Linked DNA regions of Caenorhabditis elegans. The protein of the gene in region 3 purifies or fractionates together with the protein of the main gene of each other region. This does not show direct contact. Each region holds a gene or a part of one and is shown on either strand. Other genes may lie near its edges.

Evidence for each region. Proteins that work in one complex are often made in the same cells at the same time.
Region 1: the proteins of nhr-37 (region 3) and fcp-1 fractionate together in Caenorhabditis elegans (co-fractionation; one large-scale study listed by BioGRID). This does not show direct contact.
Region 2: the proteins of nhr-37 (region 3) and K04C2.2 fractionate together in Caenorhabditis elegans (co-fractionation; one large-scale study listed by BioGRID). This does not show direct contact.

The regions. Positions count from the first base shown.
Region 1 is NC_003279.8:9,004,006-9,010,528, forward strand, and holds fcp-1 (RNA polymerase II subunit A C-terminal domain phosphatase), read right to left. Parts: upstream 4,704-6,523; coding exon 4,506-4,703; intron 4,461-4,505; coding exon 4,284-4,460; intron 3,933-4,283; coding exon 3,804-3,932; intron 3,333-3,803; coding exon 3,090-3,332; intron 2,675-3,089; coding exon 2,387-2,674; intron 2,298-2,386; coding exon 2,110-2,297; intron 2,066-2,109; coding exon 1,594-2,065; intron 1,550-1,593; coding exon 1,421-1,549; intron 1,153-1,420; coding exon 997-1,152; 3' UTR 508-996; downstream 1-507. Other genes in the region: rbpl-1 (E3 ubiquitin-protein ligase RBBP6), read right to left, coding at 5,255-5,335, 5,381-5,446, 5,516-5,941, 6,062-6,523. UniProt on the Caenorhabditis elegans protein: During the late stages of oogenesis, dephosphorylates 'Ser-5' of the heptad repeats YSPTSPS in the C-terminal domain of the largest RNA polymerase II subunit ama-1.
Region 2 is NC_003281.10:6,888,139-6,895,596, forward strand, and holds K04C2.2 (DNA polymerase V), read left to right. Parts: upstream 1-1,635; 5' UTR 1,636-1,636; coding exon 1,637-1,738; intron 1,739-1,790; coding exon 1,791-1,982; intron 1,983-2,028; coding exon 2,029-2,229; intron 2,230-2,285; coding exon 2,286-2,477; intron 2,478-2,521; coding exon 2,522-2,609; intron 2,610-2,656; coding exon 2,657-2,847; intron 2,848-2,852; exon of another isoform or gene 2,853-2,905; coding exon of another isoform or gene 2,906-2,991; intron 2,992-3,044; coding exon of another isoform or gene 3,045-3,164; intron 3,165-3,345; coding exon of another isoform or gene 3,346-3,466; exon of another isoform or gene 3,467-3,522; intron 3,523-3,945; coding exon 3,946-4,122; intron 4,123-4,168; coding exon 4,169-4,333; intron 4,334-4,378; coding exon 4,379-4,518; intron 4,519-4,563; coding exon 4,564-4,828; intron 4,829-4,884; coding exon 4,885-5,052; intron 5,053-5,098; coding exon 5,099-5,371; intron 5,372-5,422; coding exon 5,423-5,527; intron 5,528-5,578; coding exon 5,579-5,908; intron 5,909-5,953; coding exon 5,954-6,094; intron 6,095-6,508; and 5 more. Other genes in the region: brd-1 (BRCA1-associated RING domain protein 1), read right to left, coding at 1-99, 153-330, 379-438, 756-931, 975-1,143, 1,193-1,252, 1,296-1,357; K04C2.5 (INSulin related), read right to left, coding at 2,906-2,991, 3,045-3,164, 3,346-3,466.
Region 3 is NC_003283.11:6,620,406-6,625,327, reverse strand, and holds nhr-37 (Nuclear Hormone Receptor family), read right to left. Parts: upstream 3,135-4,922; 5' UTR 3,061-3,134; coding exon 2,891-3,060; intron 2,842-2,890; coding exon 2,783-2,841; intron 2,189-2,782; coding exon 2,127-2,188; intron 2,075-2,126; coding exon 1,880-2,074; exon of another isoform or gene 1,873-1,879; intron 1,827-1,872; coding exon 1,521-1,826; intron 1,474-1,520; coding exon 1,379-1,473; intron 1,133-1,378; coding exon 1,017-1,132; intron 970-1,016; coding exon 818-969; intron 770-817; coding exon 671-769; 3' UTR 552-670; downstream 1-551. Other genes in the region: ppt-1 (Palmitoyl-protein thioesterase 1), read left to right, coding at 43-141, 354-551.

The DNA of each region.
Region 1 (6,523 bases), on a different chromosome or scaffold from region 3:
GAAAATACATACAAAAAAGGCGCTTAGTGCGCGTGTGTGCAAAAATGCTCTATAGACAAAAAATGCGAGAAAATATTTCTTTTCAAAAGAGAAAAGTAAATACTTTTTTCATAAACTTTCACTGCAATGGTAAATAAACTAGTCACTAAAAGGAAATGAAATAAGTTTTTTCAATAGCTAATCACTCTACCAATTTTTTTCAAAACTTTTTGCGAATATATAGCTTTTAATAACTTTTAATAATAAGGAAATAGTAAAAGATCGATAAAAATCCAGTTCGGCAAAACGTGTTGTTGAAACGATTGATTGTGTAATATAAGACCACATTGAATTGTATACAAATTGTAAATTATTGATTTTTGTGGAAATGTAAACATTGTACTACATTTGTTACATGAAACTTTTTTTGGTCTCGCGTAACAAATACTATACATTAATCCTATAATTCGAAAAAAATAAATCATACTTCCGAATCAAACGGCATTGCGAAAGCGTCAGCAAGAAAAATAGAAATGAATCTCATTCATTTTCAGAAAAAAATAATAACGATCAACGTGAAACGAGAGAAGAAATGAGACAATGACGCGATTTAGAAAAAAAAATTAATTCGATAAAATGAAAATAGAGGTATTTAAGTAAGCAATCGAAAGATGAATAACTCCATAGTGACAGACTTTTCTTGAATTTACAATCAAAAGGCAAAAGATAAGTGAATAAAAAGCAATCTATATTCCAAACCGTGAACGTTTATATATGACAAAAATGCAGGCTTCTAGTGAAGTTTTGATTGATTTGATGAAAATCACTCTGATCAAGCAGCCGACATTAATTGTCAGATTATTCCCATTTAAATGGAGGTAAATAGTACAGAAAACATTGAGTATCGAATCAAATGGGGAACGGGGGTGATAATTATGAGATGTAAAAGATGGGAAACAACTGAAAGAATAATAGGAAATGAAAACAATAATAGCACATGATGATTTCACAGAAAACTCATTGATCTTTTTCATCTACTGCATCGCTAATCTGACGTTCGATCAATGCAGCCATATCCTCGAACTCATCGTCATCATCAGATTCCGGTACTTCCTCATCTTCATTGTCTTCGTCATCTTCTTCTTCATCTATATTAGCTGGTGCGTGGCCTTTCTGTAAAAGTCTTTTTTTTTCAAAACACTTTTGATCTCCCAAGCAGGAATAATGATTCACGTGTTTCTTTGAATTTTTGTTTAATATCGATAAAATGTCGTATTTTTCGATAAATTCTAGACACTGGAACGATTTGGATTGATATTTTTAAGCTCAAGAAGCCAAAATTTAACTTTTTTCAAAAAATTCACTACTATTAATTTTAGCCACTATAAATTCAAAACTTTCCGTTTTATTTTCAATTTTTTATACTTGCCGCCCTTTTTACCTCATCATCAACATCAAATACTGCATCATCCTCGTTTTCTGGAACAATTCGACCTTTTTTGCGTGAATCTGACAAAAGTGCTTTGTACGACATAGGGGTATCGTCATCCTCATTATCAGAATCTGATTCCTGAAATAAATATTATTGGAATAAATTATTTTCAAGTTTCTTACCTCTTCCTCGTCCTCCATTTCAGGACAATGCTTTCTTTTCTGTCCCCTTGATGTAGAATCTGTCTCGTTTTCCAAAGCATCTCCTGATTGATTCTCAACAGATCCATTCTGCTCAACATCATCCATTTCTTCTTCATTTTTCTCTTGTTTCTCTTCTAAATTTTCATCTCCCTTATCTTCTCCAACATCATTCCCATCATCATCCTCATCCTCATTGTCTCCATCGTCTTCATCATCCGATAGAGCTTCATCTACTTCATTATTCATATCAGCTAACGCGGCTTTCCCAATTGTGTCCATATTTGCCAAATCATTGACATACTTTGATCCAAGTGGACGTCCAACTGGAGGAGTACTTTCTTTTGTTAGTTGAAACAGATTTTCATCTGCTTTAAGCCACTTTTCGACACAAGCATATACCCATTGAACTGTGACCACAAACTTATTGAGACGATTGGCTTGATAAACTTTTCTGAAAATAAAAGAATTTTAAAATGCTAAAATGATAAAACTAACTGTGTTCCATATCTTGCTCCAACAACATGAGTAACATCATCAGTCACATCTGGTACAATAACTGCTCCAAATTGAGTACACAAACGATAAATATCAGTTCTTTCAAGCTTTTCACCCATTGGTACGATTCCCGAAAAAACAATGACACATCCATCAAGAACTTTGTGTCGTTCCTCTTTGATCACTTCCTGAAAATCAACTTCTAGAAGTCCAAAAGACTTAAATATTCAACTTAGAATAATAATTCAATAACTAAATATTTAAAATGAAAATTTACCTTTACATCAAGCAACACTTCCTCGGATCCTCTTAAATCGTGCTTTTCATAATATTTATCATGAATATTCGTTAAAACTCGCTCAATTTCTTCAAGAACCTTATCCTCATGAGCATCATCTTCAATTTGAACTGGCATTTGTTCTTTTGAGTTTTTTGGAGCATTAATGTCGCCGACTTCTTTGAAGAATCGATAAGGTTTGATTTGAATAAGTGCTTCAGAATACATCCAGACATCTGATCGATCATCAATAATCACTACAAGATTGTCGCCACATGGGAATAGAGCCTGAATAAAAATTGTTGTGTTTAACACTTATTCTATGATGTTAAAAAAAAACCAAATTTCATGGTAACACTTTTTAAAAATTTGAAATTTTCATTAACAGTCGAAAAATTGATGAAAACTCATTTTTCATTCATCACAATTCTGATCGATTAATATTTTCTACGAGTTTCATGTTTTCAGGGCTGAAGATTTCTTGTTTTTCGCTTTAAAAAAAATGGTGTTTTTTTTTGACAAAAAATGTACTTTCCGTTTTTTTATATTAAAGAGCAAAAAAACGAAGAATTTGTAAAAAACTTTTAAATGACTTTAAAATTATAGTTTTTAGTTTTTCGCTTTTTTCGTGATTTTTGCGAATTTTGGGCAAACTCCATTGGAGTTTGAAATTATTTTTATTTTTAATTTTTAAAAATTATACCTTCAAATTATTGGTCTTGTGTTGAGCCGAGAATAGTTCATCTCGAGACAAAATGCGTTGTTCAAAGAGTCGAGCATCTGGATCAAGAATCTGAGCAATACGATGAGCATATTGACGTTGTCCATAGGTAACAATGTGCATTTCATACATATTTGACATTTTATTCAAGAATTCTGTTGTATGTGGTCGGAGTTTAGTGGTATAAACACGAGAGTGAAGGTTATATTTGGTGATGTCTTTGTGCTGAAATTTATAGAAAATATATGAGTATTCCTATCAAGAGTGACAATTTTTCGATAATTTTAGAAAATCAAAAAACACAATTTTTTTGTACCAAAATTAAATTAGAAAAAAGGTTTCTCGGAAAATAATTTAAAGTTTTTGTCGATTTTTCTTATTACGATAAGAAAATTATGCTTTTCTAACTTTATCATTTACATAGAAGCTCGATGAGAAATTTTTTTTGAAATCTTTATTAATTTTCTGAAAAGTGTTTTTTTTTTCGAAAAATGGCTTTACATTTTGGCCATTTTTTTTCTAGAAGAAAATTATATGGTTGTTTGAAATTATTTGTTTTCATCGACACGACCAAAATTCGTTAAATTTGTGTTTTAATTTTTTGCTAATTTTCGGAACATTTTTTTTCAATTTTTCAGTTTTCTCTGAGAAAAACTGAAAAAAAACTTTTTTTTCGTCAAAACTATTGATTCTTACATTTTCAGTATCCACAGTCATTGGTTTGTCGGAAGTGTGAATAATTGTCTGATCCAAATCAACAAGCAATACGAGTTTTCTATTGGTGATCAGATTGTTTTCATCGGCTGATCCAATCTCTTTTGCTAGCTGAAAAAAAAGTTTTTTATCGAAATATTATTTGCCTAGTAGGCGAATTTTTGAGCCAAAAATGCGGTTCACGGTCTCAACACGACAATTTTTGATAAATGCAAAAATATGTTCGTCTTTAAAAAGAACTGTAATATTATGGGATTTTCATGAAGTTTTCTATTTTTCTCAAAATCGTATACTTTACTTAAAAATAGTTTAAACTTGCTTTATTTTAAAGTTTTAATTAACTTTCGAAAAACGATGAAAATTCTGCATTAGCTATTTAAAGGCGCACAACGTTTTGCGAGACCGGTTACCGTATTTTTATTGAAAAAATCGCCGCATCCGGGTAATAAAAATGATGCTAACCGTATCCGACACAATAAGTTCTGGAACATGATGAATCATAGATACATTAGCCGTTGATTGTTCCTTTCTCTGACCGGCTCGTCCTCCCTTTTCACGTAGATCTTTACCACATGTTGCACACATATCTTTGATAACAATTGCATGAGTACATTCGGATACTGTAGCAATCACTTGACCCTGAAAATGAAAACAGTTTCAATTGAATAAATAATTTCAATTTACCTTATTCAATACGATTCCTGGTTTAAGACCTTTTCCAAAAGTAACTACACCCTCACATGGTGTCTTTATCTTTCCCGCCACTTTTCCGTTGATTTTGAATTCTATCAGAACGTGATCTTTCAATACAAAACTTCCTTCACTGGCCTTTTTCAGGCCAGCTGTGCACTCGGCATCGTTTCCTTCAAATTTAATATCCATCTGGAAAAGAATATTTATATCTTTTCAATTAAGATATCAAATTCGACTGTTATTGAATTATTAAATGTTATTTAAAAGTAAAATTTTTCAACAATTTTGTGTTCATCATCTAAAATACATATGTACGCATTCTCTCCAAAACTTTTTTTTCAATTTTCGATTTTATTACCAAAAGGTTAATTTCGGCGCTTTTTTTGAAATCGAATCTGTAAAATTAGCCATTCTGATATTATTTGCGGCAAATTCAGGACCGAGAAATTTTGGGATAAAAATAAGAAAAAAGGTAAAAATAGAGTAAAAATAAAACGGAATTTTTATTCCAACAGGAACAAGAAAAGTGAAAAAAAAACAGAATAATTCCACAGATGGGACGAAAAATGAATAAAAATGGAAGCGTTTTTAGAAAAAAAAAATAATGGTGAAAAAAGAGAATCAAAGTCACAGTAGATGTGGTTCCCTCTAAGAAGAACTAGAAAAATAGGGGGGAATATGAGAAAAACGAATAATAGGATGGAACATAATTAATAACTCAAATATAGATACAAAAATGATTACAAAAGATCAAATTTAATCTTGGTACTCTTGTGTTTGACATCTACACTCTCCTTTGGAACTTTTCGAGACGAAGATTTCTGAAATATCTAAGATTAAAATTCTTCAAAAACAACAAAAATTACCTTCTCCTTTTCCCCAATGCTCTCCACGTCAGTTTCGTCCTTCTTCCGGCGATCCCGCTTCGACCGCTAAAATTTTTAAATTATATATTTTTTGATTAATTGAATTTTAGTGAAATATTTGTGAATAAAACGTACTTCTTCATCTTCTTGTTCCTTGGTTGATGATGAGGACGAGTATTGACGAACTCTGATGTTTGTCGTTGGTTTGCTCGAAGCAACAGTAAACGAGACAGGTTTTCGTTCAAGTGATGGAGCAGTAGTAGTTCTAGAGCTTGAAGAAGTGGATGAGTCAGCTTTCTGCATACGCTCATGAACCGATTTTCGTGGTTTCTCAGACTCTTTCTCAACGATTTTCCGCTTCTCTTTGCGATCCTTCTCGTGTTCCTTTTCCACTTCCTTCTCGCGTTGTTTCTCTTTTTCATTATCCCGATCACTCTCCTTTCTTTTACTCTTCTCCTTTTCATAGTCATCCTTCCTGCGTTCCCTGTCCCGTTCATAATCTTTCCGATCGTCACGCTTCTTGTCTTCACGCTTCACCTTTGTCTTGGGGGCCTGCAATTTCTATAAAAATTTGTTCATTTTTCCTAAACCCGGAAGATGATTTCTGATTGCTAAATTTTTCCTCAAAACAATCAACAATTAAAACAACTAATCTAAAAATAAGAATAAACCAAAACTTACATCACTGTCATATGCCTCGGTCTCTCGATCTCGCTTTCTCTCTTTCTTTCTATCTTGCTCATCAATTTTTTGAGAATCTCTTTCATGCCGACGTTCCTTACGATCATCCTCATCATCATGTCTACGGTCTTTCCTGTCTCTCCGATCGGATTCCTTAGGAAGCTCCTCTTTTCTATCCTCGAAGATGTCCTCTTCATCCTCATTCCATTTTCCTTTCTTCTTTTCTTTTTTGTCAGCAAAATTTTTGTCCAACTCCACTTTGTCCTCATCATCTAGAGATCTTGGCTCTTTTCTATTAGAATCCTCATCTTTATCATCCTGATACTTTCTTTCCTTCTTTTTTTCTTTCTTTTCGGTATCAAGATCATCCTCATCCTCATCTCTCTTCTCCTTCTTTGACTTTTTCTCTTTTTTGTGCTTCTTGTGCTTCTTCCGTTTTCGTTCCTCATCCTCATCACCGTC
Region 2 (7,458 bases), on a different chromosome or scaffold from region 3:
ATCTTCTTCGATAATTTCGGCTTTAACTGGATTACTGCTACTTCCGAAAGCTTGAGCATACGTTGCAACACCAGTTGCTGCTGGAGCAGTTGAGCGACGCTGAAGAATTTCCGTTAAAGTTCTGAAGCGTCTTTAAAGTGAAATTGTCATACCTCAATAAACGGCGTCAGTAAATCATTTTGATGAGTTCTCTGCGGAACTTGCGATGCAAAAAGATCAACTACAGGCGCAGCCGGTTCATTTTTGACGGAAGTTTTCAGTATCGATGACCTTTTGGGTTTTCTCTCATGAACACTGACAGTTGAAGGGCGTTTTGTCGAATTACGCGTTCTAAAAGTAAATAAAATTCAATTAATTGAAGCAATGTAACAAACTCACGGAGAAGCTTCTTTGCTGTAGTCGTGGAATATATCCAATTCTGGAGAGTTTGAATTTTCCCTGAATTTACTGGGAAAATATGAAAAAAAGTTCTGCGTTCGGGGGGAATCGAACCCCCGTCGAATGCTTGGAAGGCATCCATGCTGACCATTACACCACGAACGCGGCATGGGAAACCAGCTATTAAATGAAGAGACATTTCTACTTGAAGCCACCAAATAGACCGCATCAGGTTTGTAGAAGAAGCATGACGGGAATCGTTTTCTCGGAAAGATATCCCCGATATGTCGCGTTCGTGGTGTAATGGTCAGCATGGATGCCTTCCAAGCATTCGACGGGGGTTCGATTCCCCCCGAACGCAGATTTTTTCGACTTACCGGTTTTCATCTTTACACATCAAATCATCATCCTCTTCACCAAGTTGTCCCATCTCGTCTGGCATATGAGCTTGCGTCTCCAGGAATTTCTCTACGGCATCAGCTGGAGTTTTTTCTTTGTTAAAAATGTTTTGTGTACAGGCAAACTCTGCTTGAGTTAGAGATGTTGTTCCGACCTAAATGAGAATTTAATTTTCGAGCTTTTCACCATTGACTTACTTTCTGTAAAAGGTCGTTTAGTTCAGACAAAGTATCAAAGCACGTTTTCAGCATATGAGCTTCTGTGATTTTGGATGTGTCTAGTGGGAAAGCACAACTCGGACACATGTGTCGAGCCACTGAAGAGCGTTTTCCAGACGGTTTCTGTTGAAATGTGGCGATACATTCCCTGAACATAAACTGAAGTTATTGACAATTTATTAGGTTGCAATACCTACCAGCAATAAGCATGTTTGCAAGATGATCCGAGATATTGCAAGTCTCCCCTCGGTTTTTTGCTGAAATTTTATTTAAGAGGCAAAATCTTGTACAACAACTTACCATTTAACACACTCGATAGCTGTTCGAAACGTTTCCAATGCTTTTTTAGTGTTTTCAAACATTATTTGACGCTGAAACAATAATTAAATCAAACAGGAAAAGAATAAAATTCGAAAATCGCACTTGTTTGTTTGCGCGTCAGGTGTGGTGCGTGCGCACAGAATACATTTTATTTTACGAACAAAATATTTTACTTCTATTTCTTTTTCTTTCATTAAACTAAAATTACATTTATTTTTTGTGTTTTATAGAAAAATACAGTTTACTTGGTCTGGAAAATTCACGAGAATGATCCTCTCGTCAATTTATTCTCTTTTTAATTATAATTTTAAGTTTTAAGCATGAGACCGCCAAGTGAATTACTCGATATTATTTCAAAGCTTGCTGAGCTCGATCCATTAGTCAGAAAAGGAGCAGTTAGACAGCTTTCAAGCAAACAAGAGGTAGGAAAAAAGTAGCTGAAATAAATGCCTAATTAAAGTGTTATTTTTTTAGGAATTATCCGATAACGAGCTCAACACATATGTGATTGAACGTCTTATTTCTGGATGTGCTTCAGCTCGTGCTGCTGTTCGTTTGGGATATACAACCGCTTTGGGTACTATTTTAATGACAAAAGCAGGCGAATCATGGGAACTCGACAAAATATTGGCCGTTGCAGATAAAAAGATGGACCTGGCAGAAAAGGTTGGGATTGTAAGTTCCTTTATTTGTACTAAATGTTTCGATTCAGACTGTTGGTACCGGACATGCAATTGGACATTATCTTATTCTTGTCACATATTGTCAAACCAGAAAACTCAAAGAAGCAGAAGCTACAAAAATTGTTGAGCATTCGAAGAAAATCAGAGACTTTGCTCCAAGCTTGGCATTTTCACAGATTAACCTTCTATGCAGTTTGGCTACAAAGACAAAAGAAAGTGTTTTCCAAAAGGTAAATCAATTTACTGTTTGAACAAAAACAAATCTATATTAATTTTTAAATTTCAGAGTGTATCCCCAGCCATCGAAATGAATTTGGAAGGTCTCAGCTCTCAGTTCACACCGGAAAATGTCTACCTGGCACTTCGCCTTCGTAATTCTCATTCAACAGTGGTTGCAAAATACGCAAAGTTTGTAAAGAAAGACGGATCTATTCAATTTTCTGATGATCAGTATCCTAAAATTTTGGCTGCTTTAAAGGTTAGTTTTCTATTTTAAAATTTTTATAAATACTTTATTTTCAGCGCTGTGACTTCGCCACAGTTCAAGTATTTCTTCCACTTCTCATCAAAGCATCAGTTGAATCATCTGGTTTTGATAAAATGTACCTGAGTAAGTTATACTTTTGAAAAGTTTTTTTTATAAATTCTCATTTTCAGAAGTTCTCGAGCCATGGGCCCTTTCAAGCAACGAGACGAAAGTTTTCGATAGAATTCTCACGATTGTCACTCAATTCTTTGATTTTGGAGGCGATGTGAAATCAATTGTTGTAGTATTTACTAAAGAAGTTTTGAATCGAATGGAGACCGCTACACGTGGAAAAGGACAATTCAGATTGATGAGTAAAAAGGTAATATTCAAGAGTCTTTATTGTTCAAATTTACAAAAATTAGTGAGATAGAAATTATCTAAAGGTAAACTGGCTTTTGTGATCGAATATGTCTCTGAATTTGTTTGATTGCTTTTCGGAGAAGAGCCTGGCAATCTTCCGGTACTGAAAAAAGATTTTTTAAAACTCAAGCTTTCTTCTAAACATCGAAAACATACATTTCTTGCATTGTTGTGTAAGTTCCTCATTTTCCACACAATATTCGGATGTTATTTCACACTCGATAGAACATAAATCGAGTACAGGAAGCCAGACAGCATCAGAAAATGGATCACCGCCTGTAAAAAAAGTGTTGGAACAATATTTAATTTCTTGTATCTTAAAAATGTATGCTGGTAAATTATGAAGAATTAATTCAGAAATCGTTTACAACATTTCTGAAATATACTATAAGATTATTCTTTTGTGTTATTACATAATACAGATTAAATTTGAATTTAAATTGATTTTCTAACTTACATAATTTAGAGTTATGAAACAAAAACTGTGAAACCGATTCGTACTGAATCCGCCTTTTAGACGCTTGTCCATTGATTGCCGCGATCAGAAAAATTCCGATAATAATTGAGCATTTTGTCATTTTGAGTTCCAAATTTAGTATTGCCAAAGTGATGAAAAACTAATACGTAGTTCAACAAAAAGATGAGAAATAGATGAAAGAAAGAAGAAAAAGAAGAAGCATTGTTCATTGAATACCACAATGAACTGTGTAAAGTAACGGGATTCTGGGTGTAATACAGATAGTTCTTTCTATAAGATGATGACACATTAACGACGACCTCATTATATCCATACATATTGTTTTATTTGGATTACGAGTTAGATTTAGAATGTTAGATTTATGAGAGATTGCAGCGATATTTGAGAGACAGGAATGTTGAAAATTGATTATCATTCGAACTTTTTAACACGAAAATATTGAATAATATTATTAAAAGTATACATTCGAACAAAGATTTTAAACTAAAGAAAATTTCGATACTGGCTTAGCTAGGAAATTAAATTTACTTTTAACAACAAAAAAAAAACACATTTCAAAATAATATCTTCATTTTACAGGTGGATGACTTCGCTGCATTCATCCAATCCAAACTTTCTGAACTTCGTGATGAAGAAGCCTATACTGCTCTGAAAGAGCTCGAAAAGTGCGGAAATGTGGACAAGGCCTGTGGTACCGGCCTTACGACCGCCCTACTTTCAAATCTTGGAAAGAAGCAGATCTCTGTGTGGATTAAGGTAGAAAAAGAACTGACGGTTCAATTTCAGCATATAGATTTTTCAGGAAAATCTCTCCAACCAAGATGAAGTTCGGAAGATCGTCTCTGCATTCAGTAACTGGGATGAAAAATCACGAATCACAGTTCTCTCTGCTCTTTTGTCGCAGAAGGCAACTGAAACCAGTCAATCTGTTGTTACCAGCATTATTGATTCACTTTTCTATGTCAAGGTTTGTTCATTGTTTGTTTGAAGTTGAAGTAAAAAATTATTCCAGACTCGTGCTGGAGAGTTCGCATCGATTCAAATTTCTGAGAAAAACGAAGAGGTTCTCCGTCAACTTGTTGTTGCTGTTCAAGGAGAAGAAGAAGTAAAGAAAGCTGAGAAATCGATTGGAAAATCCAAACTTCGCAAGAAGTGAGAATTTAATATTAATTCATTTTCAAAGTTAATTTTTTTCAGGTCCCTTCAAATTCTATGGTATGTCACCCGCTTGTGGTCTCGAATCGCCGCGAGCTCTGTAGATTCTGCCGCCTACGATTCGGATAGCTCAGAAATCTTGGCAATCGCCAAAAACGAAGCAGATGGAAATAACTCACTGGTCTTTGTCGATCTTCTTCTTTCAATTCTGTCCCGCGAGCAAAAGTTCCATCGTACTCCAACTGCATTCGCTTTTGTTCATGCTATTCCTACATTGGAATCTAAAGATTTGTGTCATATTGTTGAGGTAAATTGGTTTTTGAAAAATCTAAATGTCTGAAAAATTTTATTTTGAAATTTCAGACTGCAATGATGAGTGAGGCTGAATTGGCTGGAAACGATGATGAGGATATGGAAGACGAGGAAGGAATGCCATTTGATGAATCTGAAATTCCATCTGGAAATGGAGACGATGAAGCAAGTGATTCGGATGATGATGATGAGGAAGAGGATGATGATGAAGGAAATGAGGTACATTCATTTTTCGTTTTGTAAATTTTACAATAAATATTTTTAGGCAGTTGATCAAGAACTTCTTGATAAATTGAATGCTGCTCTTGGAGATGCTGCTCCGAGAGATTCTAGCAGTGACGTGGAAATGGATGATTTAGATGATGAAGCAATGCAGAAAATGGATGAGAGACTCGCTGCCGCATTCAAAGCAATTGCTCCAAAAGCTGGAAAAGATAAGAAGCGTAGTGCAAAGAGTGTAGAAGCTCTGAAAATGAAAATTGCCGACCTTTTGCTCATCGCAATTTCATCAAAGGAGCTTGCTGAACAGAGCAAAATTGTAAGATTGGTATATAAGAGTTTCTAAGAATATTACTTAAATTTATTTCAGAAACTTGTCGTTCCACTCTTGAAATGGGCTAAAGTCGACGCAAAAACTCACGACAAGGTTGCTCAAAAAGTGTTAGAACTTGTAAACATTGTTGTGAAGATGAAGGTGAGAGCATATTTCAGTTGTGAAAAAATAGTTCTTAACAAATAATTTCAGTTTACTGATGTTTCCGAGAAAGATGCTCTTCAACTTCTGAAACAAGTTCTCGATGAGGCGCAGACAACTACAAATATTCTGATTATTGATACAGTAGCACGATGTGTCACTTTTGTGCTCAAGATTAGTTCTCGCGATGGAAAATCGATGTCAGCTGGTGTCAAAACAGAATTCCAATCACTTTTTGAAAATTATCTGAAGAATGTGGAAGGAAAGGTTCCATCGAATTTTGTCATTCAGCCAATCGCCGATCTTCCATTGCTGTTTGTTGATCAACTTGGAATGCTCATTGATGCCGGATTTGATGAGGAGAATCGAATTTTCAAAAGAGTACGTATTAAAAACACATTTTTATTTAATTTCTGTAAAATTTAGACTGAAATTCTCGGAGCCATTGCGATGATTTTCACGAAGCAAGTGCTCCAGGAGACGAATATCAAGGGTGCGATTATCAAGAAAATTGGAAAATTGGCCGCTGCTTACTTCCAGAAAGTTGTTGATTCTGATAAATCGGAGGTATGGCTTTCAAATATTAAAAAAAATTACCTGAATCACGGTACCCGAGCTAAATACTTTTCGCTTCTTTCGTTTTTTTTTTTGGCGAAAAATTAATTTTTCACTTTTTATTGAAAAAATAGCAAAAAACATCAACAAAAAATTGTTGAACGGTCAAAAAAAACTTTTTACGTAAAACTTTAAACGTTTTTTTTTTAAATTATAAACATGTTTCCAAAAAATTAACATCGAAATTTTAAGTATATTGCTTTATGGTTAAAACAATTAAAATTTCATTCGTTGTCGAAAAAAACCAACTTTTTGCTTTCTTCATTTTTCGGTTTCGAAAAAAATGTGTATTTTTTGGACTTTGACAATGCCAAAAGGAAAAACCAAACAAAGTATATAACTTTTGTAAATTTTCATCTTTTTCAGCTCAAACCACGCCTATTCGGAACTGTCCTTCAACTCATTCTCAAGGTCACAGTTTGCATTCAAAACGACGAGAAACACGTGGATGCACTCCGCGAATCTCTCGAATATGTCATTCAGAAGATGTTTGAAGGTGAAGTTTTCATTCAACTGAAAAAGATCAACCCGACCTGCCATCACGTAAGTTTTCAAATTGAACAGGCAGAATTTAAGTGCAATATTTCAGATCATCGGAAAGTCTATCGCTGGTGCATTCACCTCTATCAAGAAGAGCTTGGATATTGAAAATTAATATTTTTAGACAAAAAAATGCTCCCTCCACATTGTTATCTCATTTGTTGTTGTTGTTTTTTAATTGTTTTAATCAATTCCCTCTGTTCCCCTTGAAATGTTCTTCCAATTGTTGAATTTTAATGTTTTTTATTCAATTGAAATTGTTTTTTTTGAAGATTTAGTTCTTCCCAAATGACACAGCGAAGAAAACCTAAATGTTTCGAGGACTTTTGAAAATCCGTTTTTTCCTCCGATCAGTTTCCTCAATGATCAGCACACTGCGTCGCCACGATCTACACAGTCTCTAACTTTTGTTCTTTCTGCAAAAGTTACACTGATAAGAAACTCGTTGATGAAAGATAGTCTGTGTCTCATGCTCTCTCTTCAATGAGACGATTTTCGAAAGACACTTTCTCTGCGTCTCTTCGTCTTATATGATTTCTAGAAGCTAAATGTCTATCAAAGTCGTATCAGTTGTTTTCGGTCACTTTTTGAAAGTTTTTGAGAGACAGATCAAACGACGCAGAAGTTCTCTCAAAAGTTGGTGAAATAACGTGGAAGAATGAGAGAGTGGGAAAAGAAACAGGAATCATTGAACATTTCCGAGAAGATTACGGTAGAAGCTTCCGAACAAAGTTTGAATAAAGATGAATCTTTTTGATTGTCTTTTTTTAGCCATT
Region 3 (4,922 bases):
TAATCATTAAAATAATTGAAAAAAAAAGTATTTTTGTTTCAGAATAACAACCCGACTTACAAACGCAACTTATTGAGTCTCAAAAACCTGGTTCTGGTGAAATTCAATCAAGATCATATGGTTGTACCAAAGGATTCATCTGTGAGTGGTTTTTTTTGTTTTGCAGTTTCCGAAAGTAGACTATAGTCGCCTATAGGCGAGGGTCGCCAAAAGCTTGTTAATGCAGGCCGGAGTTTTCCCGAGTATTCTCATTCTAATGGGTACAAAGAGCCACACAGGCAACAGACATTTTGTACCACCTGTCACGGTTCTCACGCTGAAATATTTTATAAAGTCTCAATAATTTATTCCAGTGGTTCGGGTTCTACAAAGACGGTGATATTGACACAATTCTCCCAATGAACGAAACCGACCTGTACAAAGAGGATCGTATTGGATTGAAGAAGCTTCATGAGAGTGGACGAATCCATTTTATGGACGTGGATGGAGATCACTTGCAAATTCCAAGAAGTGTGCTTGTCAACGATATTATCAAAAAATATTTTATGTGAACTTGTTTGATTTTCAAAAAGAAACAACTCGTATTGTAAAACTCGTACGTAAAAATGAATTATGAAATTATCATGACTGGTTGTGTGAGCATTTTCTTGATTTGGGTTCCCATCATTTTCTAAAACATCTCGAAAAAATACGGCTCCGAGATTTCGGCATGAAAGATGTCAAAAAGCCAGAAGAGCTCCTTGATCTTTGATTTCTCACGAGAGATTCTCTAAAAATAGGGGGAAAATCAGAAAACTTAAAAAAAAATTTGGCAAACCTTCATGGATTTGACCAGTTTCATAAGAATCAGAAGCCGATGAGAATACATTTTGATATCCGTCCGATTTGTATAATAAACGTGCATTTGGTCAGCAATTTCTGCTCGCATTTGTTCGCAAGCTTCTCGTGTTTCATGAGAAAGATCACCTTCTAAAATTAAAGTTAATAAAAATTTGATTGATGTTTTTTTTTTTTACCTTCAAGTCCAATAAGGTGAACCATACAAAAAACGACTTCTTCCGTAGTTGGCTTGAGATCAAGAAGTGGCCTTGCAACTTCATCTATGTAACGGTGTAGGAAGGGTTCGAATAGTCTGAAAATTACAAAAATACAAATATAAAAATGTTCAAAGATTTTTCATCATTATATCTTTCTCGACATAGCGGCAAAAATTGTTTTGTTGAATTTTCAGTATTTCAATTAATTTTATAGTAAAGAAAATGCTGTATCAAAATGTGATCCTAAAACCAACGCAACTTTGAGTAGGCTTTTCAGAACATTGACAAATTTCAATCAGCGAATTGTGGGCATTTCAAAGTTTTTGAAACAGAAAACTCACTTGTTGAAATATTGATTCGTGAGATCAGTTATCGAGGCAAAGTCAATATGAGTTGATTCCAATTTCATTGCGAGATCATCATTGATAAGTATATACTGAAAAACAGTTGATATTTTTAAAAATAATTAAAAACTATTCTCACTCCTCCTCGAATGACTCCTTCTTCAAAAATCTTGACAGACATTTCTAGGCGCTCAAATGTTCTAACGACATTCCAAGAAGATCGGAAGAGCTGCATTTTTTGATCCATGGGTAGAGACATTAAAGATTTTGAAGAGGAAAACCAACAAGAGTACATATAGATTCGATCATTGAGCCAATCAATAGCAGATTTCAGCTCGACTTTGTCAAGAAAAGAGATTTGACTTTGAGCTTTTTGATTTTTCCTAAACTTTTTCAATGCAGACGTCAAAGTAGTCAGTTCACAATCGTCGCCTTTTGTTTTATGCTGAACATAAAATAACAAAATTTTCACTTTCAATGTTTTTCGCTTCAACTTACCGAAAATGACGTTTCAATTTTCTTCACCAAGTCATTAAAACTGATAACCATGTTCGGCTTATCCGGTGTTTTTGGCGAGAAGGTGAACAAAAAGTTCGGATCAATTCCAGGTGACTCCACCGAGTTCTTCCGGCTCAAGTTGGTCGGGCTGTAATCAGATTGAGCTGGGCTTCCATTTGGCGTAGAGAATTCGTCCTGAAATGTAGTAAATAAAATAATTGTTTTTAATTTAAAAAACAAAACTCACACTTCCACTATCCTCCATCAAACCGCGAAACGAGTACGTTGGGTCATAGTCCAATTGAACTTCTGAAAAATGAGTATATTTTACTAGAAAAAGAAGAGAAAAAAAGAAGAGAAAAATAATTGGACTCTGTAAAATTTGCAGAAAAAAACGCTTTTGGTTAAATTCCAAAAGAATGGCAGCAAAATTTTTGACAGTAATTGAAATTTTATTTGTGTTTTGGAAAGGATTTAGTTATTTCACCACTAGCAAAAATGAGTGGTGATTTTTAGCAATTTTCAAAATTCAACATTATGTAAAAAAAGGAAATAGGGCACTTTTGTATTTAATGCCCTCATTTTGAAATTATTTAAGCTATAAAAAAAACCTTTGGAATATTTTTGTAATTTTCGGACTTCGGAAAAAATCCTTTCTAAGCCTAAAGAGTAAAAATCAAACATAGAGATGATCTAGAAATTTTGTTAGGATTTTTTATTTTTCAGAAAAAATTATTTTTCTGCGTATTCCACAAAACCTATTCACATGAAGTTTTTGAAAATTTGTCAAACCAATTTTCGCAACAATTTTTCACAAAAACTTTTGATGTAAAATTTTTTGATGTGCACGATATGCACTTGAAAATCTTGCAAGTTTTTATTTTTTTGGAAAAAAAAACATACTCTCTTCATTCATCCCGATTGCTTTGCACTTTGTCAGACGACACTGCCGGCAGACATATCTATAAACAAAACGTGAATTTTCTGATTTTGAAGACTATAGTAACTCACCTTCCACGACCATCAATATTGCATTTTGAATTCCCCTGCTTACATTTATACTGTAATTTCAGTACAGTAGCCCTTCGAAAGAATGCGGCGCACGCTCGGCAGGTGAGTGCACCGAAATGCATTCCATTTGAAGCTTTTTTGCAAACCAAGCATGACTTGTCAGGTACCATTTTTAGATTCTGAGAAGGAAAAAAAGTGTGATCATCATTTTGTAATATGCAAATTGGGTGTTGTCATTCTAAGAGATCTCTACCAGATATGTTATTAGAGAAATGAAAAACGTAGAGAGGAGAGGAAAAGATCAAGTGACCACCGAAAAGGGTTTATATTTGAGAAAAAAAAAGAGGGAAACTTGAAGGAAAAATGAACGTACCTACATGTCAAATTTTGAGACTGAAAACCCAGCCTCAAATCACAAAGTTATCACAGCAATTTTTTGGTACTTTTCTTCACATGTAAGGCAAGATCAGAAGAGAGACATTTTCGGCTGGGGGAAGACGTCATGTCGGCATGTTCTCTGATCGTTACGCTGGTCGAAGACGTAGGAATCTCAGACAAACAATTAAAATCTCACCCCCTTCCGAAAAGAGATAGTCTAGTTGTAGTGGAAGGAAAAGCATAATGACAATTATCAGGATGAAGTGGTGAATTTGGCTAACCGTATTTTCAGAAAACTTTAGCTGGAGTTGTATGAAACGTTTTAAAAATGTGCCTAGGGATACTATAGATACTGAAAGTTCTTAAAATAGAAAACTCAGAAATTTCATATTCGATCTGATGATAAAAGATTTTGAATTTACTTTCCACTTGAAAAGACCACCTCAAAAATTTGTTTCAAAATGTTTTTATGTTCGATGAACCAAAAAGGAAAAAAGTCAGAAAAAAAAGATTTTCGGAATGTGAGAATTTTGGGTTTTCTTGAATTTTATAGGAAAACAATCCCCTTCTGATTACTGCTACATACATTGTACAATTTTTTTAAAAGTGCACACATTGGTACATGATTTGTGATAGAAAATTTTAAGTCAAAATTGTAACTTCGATGGAATTGCGGAAAATCAGAAACAAAAACATTTTAGAATTGCTAGATTGATAGTGACCGATTTAGAATTTTGGATAAAATACGTTGAGCTACTTTATATAGAGGCAACCGATCTTGTCCATCTAATTCGAAACATGTATGTCTTTTGTCGTTTCTATGTTCACATCTGTCTGCGTCTCTTCATAAATTGTCAATCTCTAGCTGTCAATTGCTACTCGGTCTACGAGCATCGATTCACACGCGACCTGTGTTCGCCGAATTGGACTTCCGCAAAACTTTCAAAAGACTAATGTCATCTGATTAGTCTGCGTCTCCGATAGACTGTCATCTGCAGGTAGCCGTCCACCATCCTTGCATCTTCATTGCCAGCCTCGAACCTTTGCCAAACGCTGCAAACTTTTGACAGATCCCGCCTCCCGACCCGCAAGATGATTCGTTAATGCGTTTGGGCCCGATGTCTTATCGTCGCCCTCTACAACACTTGACTCATGAAATAGGACATGGAGACCAGAAAAAGAGAAAAATATTGTGTCTGTTGACGGGGAAAGTTGTTCATTTTTAGGGCATATAACTGTATATATGTTTCAAAAGTTCCTGATCTAGACTGATTCAATTGGGAACAATCATTTTTCTATTCATTTAGATCAGTTGATAGACATCAGATATGTTTTCTCCGATTTTCTTACCCGATGAGTAATAAATTTGCCAAATATGTAGTTCGCATATTTTCCGAGATATCATGATATTTTGTCAATTTGCAAAAGTAGCATCAAAGTAACAACTAGTACAACAATGTTATTCATATAAATTCAATTCACCGCTTTATTAAGTATGCATGTCAAGGAAAACTATTCCCTCAAGTTAAAAAAAAATAAATACAAATAAGTTTAGTCCTATAGTACATAAACTGAAGACTAATTTCAAGTTAACAAGTCTACCATATTTTCCCTACTGGATTTGTACCCCAATTGCTTTACTTTGACGGCTCAT